Drosophila melanogaster: one gene and its partner. The protein of the gene in region 1 interacts with the protein of each later gene in a pairwise test. Each region holds a gene or a part of one and is shown on either strand. Other genes may lie near its edges.

The links.
Region 2: the proteins of CG42766 (region 1) and CG4884 interact in a two-hybrid assay, tested with the Drosophila melanogaster proteins (one large-scale study listed by BioGRID).

What each region holds. Positions count from the first base shown.
Region 1 is NC_004354.4:15,970,632-15,978,160, forward strand, and holds CG42766 (uncharacterized protein), read left to right. Parts: upstream 1-6,236; 5' UTR 6,237-6,351; coding exon 6,352-6,462; intron 6,463-6,523; coding exon 6,524-6,709; 3' UTR 6,710-6,791; coding exon of another isoform or gene 6,792-6,815; 3' UTR 6,816-7,029; downstream 7,030-7,529. Other genes in the region: Or13a (odorant receptor 13a), read left to right, coding at 3,794-4,146, 4,430-4,861, 5,414-5,513, 5,575-5,682, 5,741-5,929, 6,001-6,075.
Region 2 is NT_033777.3:27,955,087-27,963,577, forward strand, and holds CG4884 (uncharacterized protein), read right to left. Parts: upstream 4,160-8,491; 5' UTR 4,090-4,159; coding exon of another isoform or gene 3,992-4,089; intron 3,934-3,991; coding exon of another isoform or gene 3,102-3,933; 5' UTR 3,014-3,101; coding exon 2,721-3,013; intron 2,659-2,720; coding exon 2,586-2,658; intron 2,534-2,585; coding exon 2,330-2,533; 3' UTR 2,270-2,329; downstream 1-2,269. Other genes in the region: Nep7 (neprilysin 7), read left to right, coding at 1-1,080, 1,145-2,152; CG42487 (uncharacterized protein), read right to left, coding at 3,102-3,933, 3,992-4,089; CG31253 (uncharacterized protein), read right to left, coding at 4,309-5,448; CG31131 (uncharacterized protein), read right to left, coding at 6,955-8,094.

The DNA of each region.
Region 1 (7,529 bases):
TATCTGACTCACTAGCATTGGGCAGCATTTTGTAGTTTTACACACGCAGAAAAGATTTACTCATACAAAGCCGCGTTTTGTAAATGATTTCAACTGTTGTGAATTCTGAATATCCTGACTATTTATTGAACAGGCAACAAGTCAAGCCTTGATTGATTATATCAAATCGTAGGTCATGGCTTCTAATCTGGTGCAGAGCCATAAGTTTGCCACTCGAAGAAAAATTCAAGGATTCCGGAAACTAATCAAATACCAAATGTTTGTTAACAGGATATGAAAAAATAATGTTTTCCCTAGCATAACCAGTTTTAAAAGATTTTTTTCAGTCCGTTAAATGTATGCAAAGAAAACTGTATTGTATTCAAACCATTCATCTTTAGTTTCCCTCACAAGTTCATTCCTTTTTCTTCGTGTGTATAGCAGCATTGTTATTTGACCTAATCTGTGTCTTTGCCCCATTGTTTTGCCGCGTTTTGATTTGTGCCCCCAATAAGTCCATCTGGAGTCAATGTGCTACCAAACGATAGGGAAGTTCGAGCTTCGAAGGATGCGTGGTGGTAGGTAGGGCGATCTAATCGCGGAGCTCTTCTCCTTTATGGATCAGCAAACATTTGGGCGTTGTCACACTCGCGAATGCGGAATTCCGACACCATTTCTTTGATTGATAAACAAATTGCCCGCTGCTTGTTTACTTTACTGCCAGCGCAGATTTCTCACGAGTTAACCAACCATTAAACGAGAACTCACAAACTCAAGGACTCAGCAGGGGGAATCATCCTGGAATCACTTTGCCATCATCTCAAATCCGGTTACGTGTTTCGTTTGGCTGGCATGGGATTATGCGGTGGATTTAATTGTTTAAAAACAATCGAAAGCACTGGGGCACGTTGAGATTTGAATTGCCGTGCACAACTGCGGGTGGTTAGATGGGTCAATGGCAACGCATGCCCAGACCCCCAAATAATTGTGAACAAATGTGTCTTCAGTTGGCGTTGGTGGAGGAGCGCACCATTGCAAGCGACGCTGAAAAAGGCGATGATGTCCTGACACACTTCGAATTGCCAGAGTCCTTTTGCCAAAAAAAAAAAAAAAAAAAAAATTCCAAATTCCTTCGCATGCCAATGGAGCGGCATGGACAGAGAAGGGATGACGAGATGGAGAGACGGTGAGACGTCGAGATGGAGAGAGGATATCCAGATATGCATTGGAATACAAAGTGTGGGATAAAAGCATTTCTGTATCGCTATTATTCATTGGTCATGCGCAGTCAGCCGCGCCTCATTTCCGCTCGAGAGTCGGGAGTTGGACCATATTCGCAATAATAGTAAGTATGTTGGGCATGTGGTGTGTGTTTTGGACCAAGTATACATTTTCCCCTCCCCCGTATAATTACGGCCATAAAGCAATCCAACTATCCAGCTAGCCAAACTATTTCAGTTCCATCTGCCAGAGTTTGGAATCCTTGAGGCCATGTACATATACCGAAATATACTATATATATATATATATATGCATGGGATGTGTAGCGATTTTTGATAGATATAAAATACATAAACGTAATTGCGGTACTCACCAATGGAAATTCGGGAAATTCGAAAAAAATCAAAACCAGAATCCATTGAAACAGTAGTTGGAGAGTAGTTATGAATTATTTGTTATCCGTTTTGCGTTTAAGTTTGCTTTTAAGTTTACATTGTACTGCTTTATGAACACACTCAGTTTGTTATTTTGGCCAAACAGTAAAAAAAATATGCAAAAAATTTTCATAAAATATGTATTTTATGATCTTTTCATCCTTACGCCATCAGCATATACATATACACGCATATATGTGCACATATATAGACATATATATATATTTATTCTATTTTTGTATTTTCCATATTTGATTTGAATGTGCTGATTTAGTAGCCGATTTTAGAGCTGCGTTGCGTTGCGTTTCGTTACGTTACTATATCAAACATTTGATTCTGAGTAGTTATTTGTTGGGTTTTCACATTTTGCCCACCCGTTCGGCATTTCGTTTTTCCTCTTTTCTTTTACTTTTTTCCATATATATATATATATACATATATATATACGCGTATGTATATATATATATTCTAAGTTCACGGTGTGTTGGGATTTGAAAACGAATTTCTTTGTTAATATATATATATATATATATATATATGTATATACTTTTGCCTGGGCTGGTTGTTCAGTTGTGTTTCTGGGGTATTTGTTGGATCTTTTTGGGCGCCGACTCGGGGATTATTCCTCAATAAACTATTGCTCCGCTGGCTGCGAACTATACGGCTATTTCCTGCATCTGCACTCTTTTCTGCTGCTTTCGTATTTCGTTTTGTTTGTTTGTTTGTTTTTTTTTTTTTTTGGTTTTTGTATGTTTTTTGTGTTTTTTGTATTAATTTATTTTATTTTTTTATTGCTGCTGCTGCTTCTTCTATTAAAAACTATCGCCGTGTCTCGTGCCTCGCTAACCGCTTTCCGCAATTGCAAACAACGTTCTAAAGCTCTCGAACACGTCTGCAGGATTTTGGCCAGGCGAAAAACGATTGCCTCCAACCGGAGGCAAACCAGGCAGCCAACCCAGTCGACCAGCCATTCTTCAGTCAGCCAAATACGACGCAGTCGCAGAGCACCGGAATCTCAACTGGGAGATTCCCAATCCCGGCCATCCCATCCCATACCAATATATCTCAAACCAAGCCCAGCCGAGTGGCCACATCTCTCGCTCTCCGCTTCTATTGTCACGTCACAATTCAGCATCTTGGCTCTCTCGGGCTGTGTGGGCCACATCCTTTTGGTCCTCGGATGGATGTTGGTTGGTGTTCGGCACTCAGCCGCTGGCTCTCTCGCCGAAAGTCGGTAAAAAAAAAATCCACTCCTTGGCCCCAACGAGTCTTACAATCCGGGTACGTCTGTTTATGTCCGTTATGTGGAGCAAAAGGGTATATTGTATTCGTGCAAAGGTGCGTAATTGTAAAAGGAAGTGTAGTATACACCTACGCCTCTACATACGTTTCCATCTAGCCGTGTCTGTCTGTCTCTCTGTATCTCTGTCTGGCTGCCTGTCTATCTGGCCGTCGAGATCTTGGCCAGAACAATGGACAGAGAACTGGGTCCACACTGTTCCACGCCACAGATTGGCCACGCCCCCGTCGTCTAATTGAATGAAGCTATATCCTTCTTACGCCCAGCTAGCAGTGACCTGATTTAAATTAACTGGTTTCGAAATGAAGTTTGGGCGAATGAAAGCCTAAAAATAAATACAGACCGCATTGTTAGCCAACATACATAAATGGAAAATCATGGAAAATTACAATGAAATAATATGTATAAGAAATTGAAAAAAAAATATATATATATCTAAAAGTGTTACGGATTTCAGGCGCAGGTTGCATGTTTATACTTTTAGTTTTGCTTTTTAATTTGAATATATTAAATTGAAAACAAAATTGAAATATGTGCACCTGTTTACCTGTTTATTTTTCGAGAGCAAAACGCACTTTGTTCTTCAAAATAAAGCAAAATTAAAATACACACAAGTAGTATAGTTTAATGGATTTCACAGGCACACACCTCCTTGGAAAATGCGTTTGATCAAAATTTCATATTCGGCACTTAATGAGGTGGTAAGTATATGCCTTGTGTGCAAACGCTTTCTAAAATATTTACTGTGCAATTAGGGTAAATGATTAAAAAAGTGGTAATTTTAGGGCGCAGTTGGTAAGCTATAAATGAAAGAAATGCCTTAAGATGTACCTAGTGCTGTGGCATTTATCAGATAGTCATGTTCTATTCGTATCCCTACAAAGCACTTAGCTTTCCCATTCAGTGCGTTTGGCTGAAACTGAATGGTTCTTGGCCATTAACCGAATCATCGAGGCCATGGAGGAGCCAATCCTTATTGGCCACCGCCTACATCGTGTGGGCGTGGTACGTCATTGCATCTGTGGGCATAACAATCAGCTATCAGACGGCCTTTTTGCTGAACAACCTTTCGGACATTATTATCACCACGGAAAATTGTTGCACCACCTTTATGGGTGTCCTGAACTTTGTCCGACTCATCCATCTTCGCCTCAATCAGAGGAAATTCCGCCAGCTTATTGAGAACTTTTCCTACGAAATTTGGATACCTAAGTGAGTCGATTCATTAGGGTTATTATAAGCGATGTTAAATGATCATCGCATTAAACTGCAGAGCATTGAAAACTATAGAGGTTTGCAATCTTACTTGAGTAAATGCGCAGAAAAGTGTGCTACATTGTTGTGTGCAAAAGAGCAAACTTTGCTTTCTAAGCATGCTTTTGGACACTTAAAGTGGTTTTGAGATAATATAGACTTTTGAGTAACTATACCCATCTTCAAACTGTATTTGTAAGAAAATCTTTATTTACATATATAAATATATGATGGGTTCCAGTTCTTCCAAAAACAATGTTGCCGCCGAGTGTCGCAGACGCATGGTTACCTTCAGCATAATGACATCCTTGCTAGCGTGCCTGATCATAATGTATTGTGTCCTGCCGCTGGTGGAGATCTTCTTTGGACCCGCCTTCGATGCACAGAACAAGCCGTTTCCCTACAAGATGATCTTTCCGTACGATGCCCAGAGCAGTTGGATCCGATATGTGATGACCTACATCTTCACCTCCTACGCGGGAATCTGTGTGGTCACCACCTTGTTTGCAGAGGACACCATTCTTGGCTTCTTCATAACCTACACTTGTGGCCAATTTCATTTGCTACACCAACGAATCGCAGGTTTATTTGCGGGTTCCAATGCGGAATTGGCCGAGAGCATTCAGCTGGAGCGACTCAAACGTATTGTGGAAAAACACAACAATATTATCAGGTTGGTATCGTGCCAATATTCAATTACAATGATTCTATTACAATGATCCTATTACAATGATTCTATTACAATGATTCTATTACAACGATTATATTACAAATATTCTATCACAACGATACTATTACAATGATTCTATTACAATGATTCTATTACAACGATACTGTTACAATGATTCTTTTACAACGATTCTATTACAATGATTCTATTACAATAATTCTATTACAACGATTTTATTACAATAATTCTATTACAACGATTTTATTACAATGATTCATTTCAATGATTCTTTTACAACGATTTTATTACAATGATTCTATTACAATGATTCATTACAATGATTCTATTACAACGATTCTATTACAATGATTCTATTACAACGATTTTATTACAATGATTCATTTCAATGATTCTATTACAACGATTTTATTACAATGATTTTATTACAATGATTTTATTACAACGATTCTATTACAACGATTCTATTACAATGATTCTATTACAACGACTCTATTACAATGATTCCATTACATGTTACTTTGATTTTGCCAATAGTTTTGCTAAGCGCCTCGAGGACTTTTTCAACCCAATTCTACTGGCCAATCTAATGATTTCCTCCGTACTTATTTGCATGGTTGGCTTTCAAATAGTTACTGTAAGCATTGGCAGTAAATATTTTAATATAATGACTAGCTTTTCTTTCTAAACTTCATAAGGGAAAAAATATGTTCATTGGAGACTATGTGAAGTTCATAATTTACATATCCTCGGCCCTTTCACAATTATACGTTCTTTGCGAGAATGGCGACGCATTGATAAAACAGGCAAGAATGTAGATTGTTTTTTTTTTTAATATATTAATAAACTATTTCCGATAAACAGTCTACCTTAACAGCGCAAATTCTGTATGAATGCCAGTGGGAAGGATCCGATCGCATTGAGATACAATCGTTCACGCCAACAACCAAGCGAATCCGAAACCAGATTTGGTTTATGATCCTCTGCAGTCAACAGCCTGTAAGGATTACGGCTTTCAAGTTCTCAACGTTGTCCTTGCAGAGTTTTACGGCCGTATGTCTACAAAAAAAAAATATATATATATATATATATATCAATTGCACAATTAAACTCATCTCTTTCAGATTCTAAGTACCTCGATAAGTTACTTTACATTATTGCGGTCAGTTTACTTCGACGACGAAAAGAAACTAGATTAAATAAAAACGTGGAGCTCTGTTTAAGGTTATGTTGCTTTCTGCTGATTTTCAAAATTCGAAACTTTGACAAATTTTGAAGCTGGGATTGGAGCTCCTAGAGGTTATCCCTCTCCTTGCACAGCCAGCGCTCCTAGTTGGCCATGATTTAATGCCCTAAATCTGGTTCGTTTTTCATTCGGTACCTTTCAGTCAGTACGGAACAAATATTCATACAATCTTTTCGAGATCTTTTATAAGTTTTGTAAATTCATTTGTACTAACTTACATCATTTCGCCATGCCTTCCGTCGAGTGGGTCTGTGGTTTGCTCTACTACGTTATGCGCACCTACATAAAGGTATTCGTATCCAGTTGCGAAGCACACTTCCCTATCGATATCCTTGACAAGGTGAGTGAGAAATGGATGGAGCAGCATGTGATGGACTCAATACACTATCCCAAACTTGCAGATTGTGTATTTGATAGATTTCGCCGAAGTTTCCATGAAGATAATGCGCCGGCCAAGAAATTACACGAATCCGACTGAGCGCCAAGCGAGACGCCTTCAATTCTACAATTTCCTTTTAAAGTTAAGATTTTTGGCACAGGTGATCTACACCTTGGTAGCCGTGGTAATTGGGACACTTAAAACATAAAAATTTATTTAATATGTTCCAAAAAATTCTATACATACTCATTGAAATATTTTTTTTTTTTTTTTTTTTTGACCATTCTAAGCTTTCTGTAATCCATGTAAAATAGCGTACAAAACGGGACAGGGCTGCGACCCGCGCTGATTGTTTGGACTGCGATGTGCTGTATTACTTGGCTGCCGTGGCTCCTTGAGGGACTGATCAACTATTTGTTTAAATGATGGACGCCATGGCGTTAGACATATATTTTTCAAAATTTTCCCTAACATGTAGCTATTCCTGAAATGTAGCAAATAAAGCACTGTTCTGCTTCGTACATTCTCAATTCTTCACGATGAAGGTGTGTGAACTTTTTGCGACGACTGTATACTCTCTTCAGCATTCTAACTCGATTTCGTGCATTTATTTTGCAAAAAATGCCAAAATTTGGCCAAAAATTAATTTCACAAAGCCTGTCAAAAAGTGATATGGGTTCTTAGTATTGGTAATTCGTATTAAAAAATAACTGTACTTCTTTTGGCCATTATAGCCATTTTTAGTCAAGTTATAACCAAAAAACCCATCTTAAATATTGCATTTTTTGCCAAAAATCAAAAATGGGCTAAAAATTTAAATTTTCAAAATTTATTAAAAAGAGATACAGAGCTGCACAAAAACTTAATTCAATTTGACTAAAAACTGCTAAAAACGATATACAATTTATTTGATTCTTAAGAATTCGCGACTATTCCCAAAAGTAGATTTAAAAGGCCAGGCAAATATTTTCTTATTTTTAATGAATTTCTCAGACAAACATAAGATCACAAATAGTAACTATTAATAT
Region 2 (8,491 bases), on another chromosome or scaffold:
TGCGTGATTTTGAATGACTGCGAGGCCAGGAGTATTGGCGACGAGTCCCATGAGAACGCGATTACGGATGAGACGGCCGACTACCTGCGATCCCATGGCGCCATGATGAAGTCCTATATGAACTTCAGCGTCGATCCGTGCGACGACTTCTACGAGTTCGCGTGCGGCAACTGGAAGAACGTGAAAACGCCGCGGCAATCGCCCCATAGGCGGAGCAATATTCTGGACATCAGCTACACACTGATGGACGTGACGGAGCAGCTGCTGACCAGGACAAAGTTGGCGGAGGCACTGAACGTGTCCGCCGAGCTGCTCGTTGCACAACGCTTCTACAATTCCTGCCTGGCGGCCGAGCTCTTTCCGCGGCCCGCTGCCGATCCCGCTTATCTATCGGTTATCAGGTCGCTGGGTGGTTTTCCCGCCGTCGACAGAGACGCCTGGAACGCCTCCAGCTTCAGTTGGTTCAACATGAGCGCCCATCTCAGCAACTACGGCGTTCGCAGTTTGATCCACGAAGAAATTCTGCCGCAGCATCCCTTCAATCCGTACTTCAAGCTACCCGAACTGGGCTTTGACCATGTCGTCCACACCGCTCACGTTGCCAATACGAGCTCGCGGGCCTACCAGCTCAACGAGCATCGCATGCGTGGCTACCTGAAGGAATACAATCTCACGAAGGATGAAATCTCTGCCGTGATCGAAGGCGTCTTTGCTTTTTGGAGCGAGGCGCTCAGTATTGAGGATAAGTTCGAGAGCGATAGGGATAAGTGCGATTTGCTCAGTGAGATTGAGGAGGTGCCGCGATTTGGTCAGTGGAGGAGCTACTACGAGATAGCCTGGAATGGTATAGACTTTTACAACGGCTCGTCCGGTGGCGAATTCTGCGACTTTTACTATGTGGAGCTCGACAAGGTGTGCGCCAAGCATACGGAGGCGGTGGCCAATTATCTAGCCATGCGGTTTCTCTACCGCATGGACGACAAGCTGAAGGAGCCCAAGCAGCCGGAGGACCAAAAGGTTAACTGCTTGATGATCGTCCAGATGACGCTGCCAAATCTGTTCAACAGGCTCTACATGGCGGTGAGTTGGATGCTGTGAATATGTGAAGCTTAGCTTTTCAATTGATATCAACTAACTTTCATAGGAGCACTTCACCGACGAGAAGCACTCGGAGATCTCTGACATGGTGACCGAAATGCGAAAGGCCCAGCGACAGATCCTCGAGAGTGTGGAGTGGTTGGACGCGGAGACGCGAGCAGAGGCTCTGAGCAAGGAGGCCGGCATCACGCCAGTAATCGGCAGTTACAAAAACGAAGAGCTGTCGGACACTCTAATCCGCGAGATCAACAATCTGACCATTGTTGAAGGCAGCTATGCCCAGAGTTTGATCAATCTGCGAGTATTGGGCACCTATCTTCATCGCTACGCTGGCTTACATGCGGACGAGCTGCCCAAGGACACAAAGCCACTGACACTGCTCGTGGGAATGCAGGTGAACGCCTTCTACTACAATCTGGATAACTCGGTGTACGTGATGGCGGGAGTACTGCATCCGCCTGCGTACCACCGTTCATGGCCCGATTCCTTGAAGTTCGGCACCATTGGCTATCTGATAGGTCACGAGTTGACCCACGGCTTCGATACGGAGGGCTCCAGTTTCGACAGCGCCGGCGAAGTACGCGACTGGTGGTCCAGGAAGTCGGAGGCGGTATTCCAGGAACGGGCGCAGTGCTATGTGGATTACTTCAACCAATACTTGATACCGGAAATCAACCAGACAATTCGCGGCAATGAGACAAGGGACGAGAACATAGCGGACGCCGGTGGCTTGAGGGCCGCACTCACCGGCTATCGAAACCACATGAAGCAGCTGCAACGAAGTGGAGCGGATGGGGAGACGTTGGCTCACAAAAACGAGCAGATGCCCGGCCTCGACCTGTCGCCGGAGCAGCTCTTCTTCGTGGGATTCGCGCAGCTGTGGTGCGCCGACTACGAGCCGGAGCACTACTGGGAGGAGCTCACTGGCGCACATACCGTCGATAAGTATCGGGTGCTGGGTGCCGTTTCCAACAACGACGATTTTGCTGAGGTCTACAAGTGCCCACTGGGCAGTCCAATGCATCCGAAGGCTGAGAGTTGTCGGATGTGGTGACCATAAGTCGTATATAAAGGAAAAGATGTAAAATACTCTAGATGTTCAACTACAAAATAAATGAAAACAGGAAAAATAATGCAAATCGACGATATAGTCTTACACATTTCTGCAATTGAGTTAACTCACTCGACTTTACCCATTTACTCTTAATAGTCTCTTTATTTCTAATTGGTTTTAATGAGCAACGTGCTCTGAGGATTTGAAGGCGTTGGGTCCCCGGTAATTCTCGACCAGCAGGGATTTGTAGCGCCTCAGGTGGACGCTGAGTCCTTCCTCGCGCTCGCTGACGGAGAGGATTGAGACGCGGGCCACGACCAGATGGGAAGGATTCGATTGACTAAAGCCTCGGATTACGTCGATTTCATCGCCGACTTCCAGCTGTAAATGGTAAATCATAAGATTGAATTCGATCTATATATGGACTCCATACCTGGGCACTCTTTTTGGGCAGCTTCTTTCCATTGACGCGTATCTTGCTCTCGTAGAAATTCAGTTCCACTTTGCTGTGGGAGGTAAGACATCATGGTTATTGGGGGCATTTAGAAAACCTTCGGCTGTTTCTTACTTTCTCGCCATGCCCAGGCCAGCTTTCAGTAGGAGATCGGCGCGCAGTGAGTTCACCTTGGTCTTGACCACCTTGGAGTCCCTTTCGTCCTTGAAATCCTCATCATCCTCGTCGTCGCTGTCCAAGTCATCCGATGCTCGTGAGGATTTCTTGTCGTACTTCCACGCTGAAGCACTGGTGTGTACAGGAGCCTGCAGCTCTAAGGTGGTTGAGAGTTTAGGCAGACTTTTAGATGGAAATGGCGTCCTTAGGGATCTTCCTAGTCGGGCTATTTGACGAAAAGTCCGGAGCATTTTGTGTGGGCGCCTTAACAATTACGATAACAAACTGAATAACATAACCTAAAAACTACAGCTGTTGCGGTGGCGTTGCCAACCATCTCTAGGACTTGTTTGCCTTTTTGTTTCGTTTCTTTTTGGGTTTCTTGTCGGGATTAGGACGCACTTGGTAGACAGTAAGGGGGCGATAGTTGTGCAGATCTGCGGGCAGGAAATCATCATCATCATGTGGCTCCACCTCCATGGGCTCTGGGCTGGGGGACTTCTCTTTTTTAACAGGGTTATTTTTGACTTCTACTACCGGCTTTTTACTTTTGGCTTTCATTGCCAAATTACTGAGGGCATTGCCCAGTTTTTGGGTCTCCACCTGGACATCCACGCGGTCCAACTTTACTGAGGGTTCGTCCGAGAAGCAGGATATGAAATCATCACCCCAATCCTTCTTTTCAGCCACTGGGAGCTGCGGTTTTTTTTCCTCTTCGGCTGGTTTGATTATTTCGGGTTTCTTCTTGGGTTTTTTGTGCGTTTTCGGGGCTATCTTCTTAGCAGGTGTAGGTGTTCTCTTTCGGGCAGTAATCCACTGTTCCAAGTCCTCGCTTATTGCTTTCAAATCTAATGGCAAGGCCAAGGAAAGCGCTCTAACGCCAAAGATTTCCTGGGTAAGCTCCTCCAGTTTGGGCTGCGCGTAAATGGGAGCCGTGGGCATCTTGACAGATGCACTGGTGGCCATTAGACGGACGAGGTGAGTTGGTCGCAGGCTCAAGGAAACCAATAGGCAGGAGAAACGCCGCGAGTTTATGGCGCGTAGGGAGCTCTCCAGGCCGAGATGTATTCCGTATCGAGTGGCAAACGATTTGGTCTGCCCGTCGCTGCTTTTAATTGCATTCTGAAGGATCTGACGGAACTGCTGCACTTCCTCCTCCGATAAAAGAGGGCTAAAGTCAAAAGAAACAACCTGTTGATTGGGTTTTTATTGGTTTCTGCCCGCCTCACCTGTGCTGTTTGTAAGGATTGGCTAGAATATTGCGCAGTTTGGGCAGCAATTTCTTTTTGCCCTTAGCTTCTTTCTGTTTTATGCTGGACAAACTCATGTTTACGATATAAACTAATAAAAAATAAAAAATTTCTGCTGAAAAATCAAACAACAATGTGTTTGGCTTTTGGCCAGTGTGACCGCGTTTCTTAGTTTAAAATAAGCCATAGCTTAAATCGCGTTGCCAATTGCTTTACGTTTTTATTTAAATTAAAACTCTTAATTTTTGCTTCTAAAAATTTTTAATCAAACTCTTAATTTTTATTTGCAATCATTTTCAGTACCAGTAAAGTTCCGGCTCCGTGTCCGAAGAGTACTTCAATTTTCTCGGTCTCTGGCGAACGTAATCTTCGACGAAATTCAATTGCCTTGGTGTTGTGGTTTCTACTTGAGTTTCTACTATTTCCGTTGTTGTTAAATTAAATCCAAATGGTGTTGATAATGTAGAACTTTCCTCTTCGGTGCTGTCAATCACTGCATCCAGATACGACGTGGTAGTTTCCACGCCCGGAGTCGTGGCAATGATTTCCAGCAAGGATGTAGTAGATTCCTGGGTTTCTGTGGTTGAAAACAATTCTTCTGTTGAAGTTTCTGCTGTTTCAGTTGTAGTTTGATCTGTGGATAATGCAAACGTGGATTCGTTCGGTTCTGTGGTAGAATCAGCAGATTCAGTCGTTGATTCCGGCAATTCTGTAGTGCTTGGATTGATTTCTATTTCTGTGGTAGTTTTTATTAGTTCTTTCTCTGAAAATTCAGAACTTAAAGTAGTCGTTGATTCCGGAAATTCCGTAGTACTTGGCATAAACTCTGTTGTTGTTGATTCCTGCAATCCTGTAGAGCTCTGAATGGTTTCTGTAGTAGTTTCTTGCCATCCTGTAGATAAATCTGGATAAATTAACGTTGATTCAGCATATTCAGTACTGTCTGAATTGCTTTCTGTCGTTGAATCTGCAGCTTCTGGACTCGAAGTTGTTGTGGAATATAGGGCTACTGATTCAGTGGCATCTATAGCATCTGTGCTGGTGACTTCCGGCCAAGCTGTTGTCGTGGAATATAAAGTATCCGTGGTTGAAGTTACATAACTAGATTCGGTGGTTGAATAATCCACCGCCGTAGTTGTAGATTCCTCAGTGGCACTTTTCTCCGTTGTAGTAGATACTTCCCCAGTGAAGTAGCCAGTAGTCTCCTGCGGATTGGTGGCCACCGTAGTTGTGTCCCAAAAATCTCCATCGAACGGATTGGTAAAATTTACGATGCGCGGCTTGTAGGGTGTGTAGATTTTGGCTTTGTAAGGCTTGTGGTTCTTGATGTATTCCTTGGCTATGCTAATCCACTCCTCGCGACCGAGAATATCGTTTAAATTTCGGCTTGAGGCCACAAAATGCGCCATTAAAAGAAGCAAACAGAATTTTCTCATTATGATGCTGATACCTTCGGTTGACACTTTCGACTAATTACCTTTGGCGACTGCAGTGCAATATAAACGCAAGGGTCTACCTACGTTTCAACGCGTATTTTAGCTACCTGCTTTCTTGGCAAAAACGTTAATTAGCCCTAATGAACTGGAAAATTCAAATGTTGCCGCCAGGGCTGCAAGCGCTTACTTTATTTGTGCTGGCAATGCCGTAGGTAATGCCGGCCGCTTAACAGCTGAGTGTTTTTCGGGGAAGAAGAAGAACAGCGTGTTTGCAGTCCGCGTTTTTGTGTAAAAATTGTGAATAATTATATTATTTGCAGTTTTCTTACGTTTTAAAGAAGAATTTAGCAATCAGAAGGTCCTGTAACAATTGGTAAGTCGGTAAAAACAACAAAAAACAAGAGTAGCATAAGTTTCGAGTCACCGTGAAAGTTTTAAATTTTCTAAGACGCCACCGGCAAATTTTGAATGAAAGTATTGATATATATATTTATTTTAGGAAAAACCATGGATTCCGATTTGTACGATGAGTTTGGCAACTATATTGGCCCCGATTTAGACAGCGACGAGGAAGATGAGCAAAGTATTTATGGGCAACCCGATGTGCAGGATGACCCAGAGGTATAAACGTGCAAAAAATAAAATAAAACTTATAATTAATTTATGGTGTTTCATTTAAAGGACGCCATGGACGAGGACGAGGTGGAGCCACAGGAGGACGAGGACAAGGAGGTGACCGCCGTGGTTTTGCACGAGGACAAACGCTACTATCCGTCAGCAGTTGAGGTCTACGGCCCGGATGTGGAGACCATTGTCCAGGAGGAGGACGCCCAGCCGCTGGACAAGCCGCTTATAGAGCCAGTGAAGAAGCTCAAGTTCCAGATCAAGGAGCACGTGGGCATCTTGACAGATGCACTGGTGGCCATTAGACGGACGAGGTGAGTTGGTCGCAGGCTCAAGGAAACCAATAGGCAGGAGAAACGCCGCGAGTTTATGGCGCGTAGGGAGCTCTCCAGGCCGAGATGTATTCCGTATCGAGTGGCAAACGATTTGGTCTGCCCGTCGCTGCTTTTAATTGCATTCTGAAGGATCTGACGGAACTGCTGCACTTCCTCCTCCGATAAAAGAGGGCTAAAGTCAAAAGAAACAACCTGTTGATTGGGTTTTTATTGGTTTCTGCCCGCCTCACCTGTGCTGTTTGTAAGGATTGGCTAGAATATTGCGCAGTTTGGGCAGCAATTTCTTTTTGCCCTTAGCTTCTTTCTGTTTTATGCTGGACAAACTCATGTTTACGATATAAACTAATAAAAAATAAAAAATTTCTGCTGAAAAATCAAACAACAATGTGTTTGGCTTTTGGCCAGTGTGACCGCGTTTCTTAGTTTAAAATAAGCCATAGCTTAAATCGCGTTGCCAATTGCTTTACGTTTTTATTTAAATTAAAACTCTTAATTTTTGCTTCTAAAAATTTTTAATCAAACTCTTAATTTTTATTTGCAATCATTTTCAGTACCAGTAAAGTTCCGGCTCCGTGTCCGAAGAGTACTTCAATTTTCTCGGTCTCTGGCGAACGTAATCTTCGACGAAATTCAATTGCCTTGGTGTTGTGGTTTCTACTTGAGTTTCTACTATTTCCGTTGTTGTTAAATTAAATCCAAATGGTGTTGATAATGTAGAACTTTCCTCTTCGGTGCTGTCAATCACTGCATCCAGATACGACGTGGTAGTTTCCACGCCCGGAGTCGTGGCAATGATTTCCAGCAAGGATGTAGTAGATTCCTGGGTTTCTGTGGTTGAAAACAATTCTTCTGTTGAAGTTTCTGCTGTTTCAGTTGTAGTTTGATCTGTGGATAATGCAAACGTGGATTCGTTCGGTTCTGTGGTAGAATCAGCAGATTCAGTCGTTGATTCCGGCAATTCTGTAGTGCTTGGATTGATTTCTATTTCTGTGGTAGTTTTTATTAGTTCTTTCTCTGAAAATTCAGAACTTAAAGTAGTCGTTGATTCCGGAAATTCCGTAGTACTTGGCATAAACTCTGTTGTTGTTGATTCCTGCAATCCTGTAGAGCTCTGAATGGTTTCTGTAGTAGTTTCTTGCCATCCTGTAGATAAATCTGGATAAATTAACGTTGATTCAGCATATTCAGTACTGTCTGAATTGCTTTCTGTCGTTGAATCTGCAGCTTCTGGACTCGAAGTTGTTGTGGAATATAGGGCTACTGATTCAGTGGCATCTATAGCATCTGTGCTGGTGACTTCCGGCCAAGCTGTTGTCGTGGAATATAAAGTATCCGTGGTTGAAGTTACATAACTAGATTCGGTGGTTGAATAATCCACCGCCGTAGTTGTAGATTCCTCAGTGGCACTTTTCTCCGTTGTAGTAGATACTTCCCCAGTGAAGTAGCCAGTAGTCTCCTGCGGATTGGTGGCCACCGTAGTTGTGTCCCAAAAATCTCCATCGAACGGATTGGTAAAATTTACGATGCGCGGCTTGTAGGGTGTGTAGATTTTGGCTTTGTAAGGCTTGTGGTTCTTGATGTATTCCTTGGCTATGCTAATCCACTCCTCGCGACCGAGAATATCGTTTAAATTTCGGCTTGAGGCCACAAAATGCGCCATTAAAAGAAGCAAACAGAATTTTCTCATTATGATGCTGATACCTTCGGTTGACACTTTCGACTAATTACCTTTGGCGACTGCAGTGCAATATAAACGCAAGGGTCTACCTACGTTTCAACGCGTATTTTAGCTACCTGCTTTCTTGGCAAAAACGTTAATTAGCCCTAATGAACTGGAAAATTCAAATGTTGCCGCCAGGGCTGCAAGCGCTTACTTTATTTGTGCTGGCAATGCCGTAGGTAATGCCGGCCGCTTAACAGCTGAGTGTTTTTCGGGGAAGAAGAAGAACAGCGTGTTTGCAGTCCGCGTTTTTGTGTAAAAATTGTGAATAATTATATTATTTGCAGTTTTCTTACGTTTTAAAGAAGAATTTAGCAATCAGAAGGTCCTGTAACAATTGGTAAGTCGGTAAAAACAACAAAAA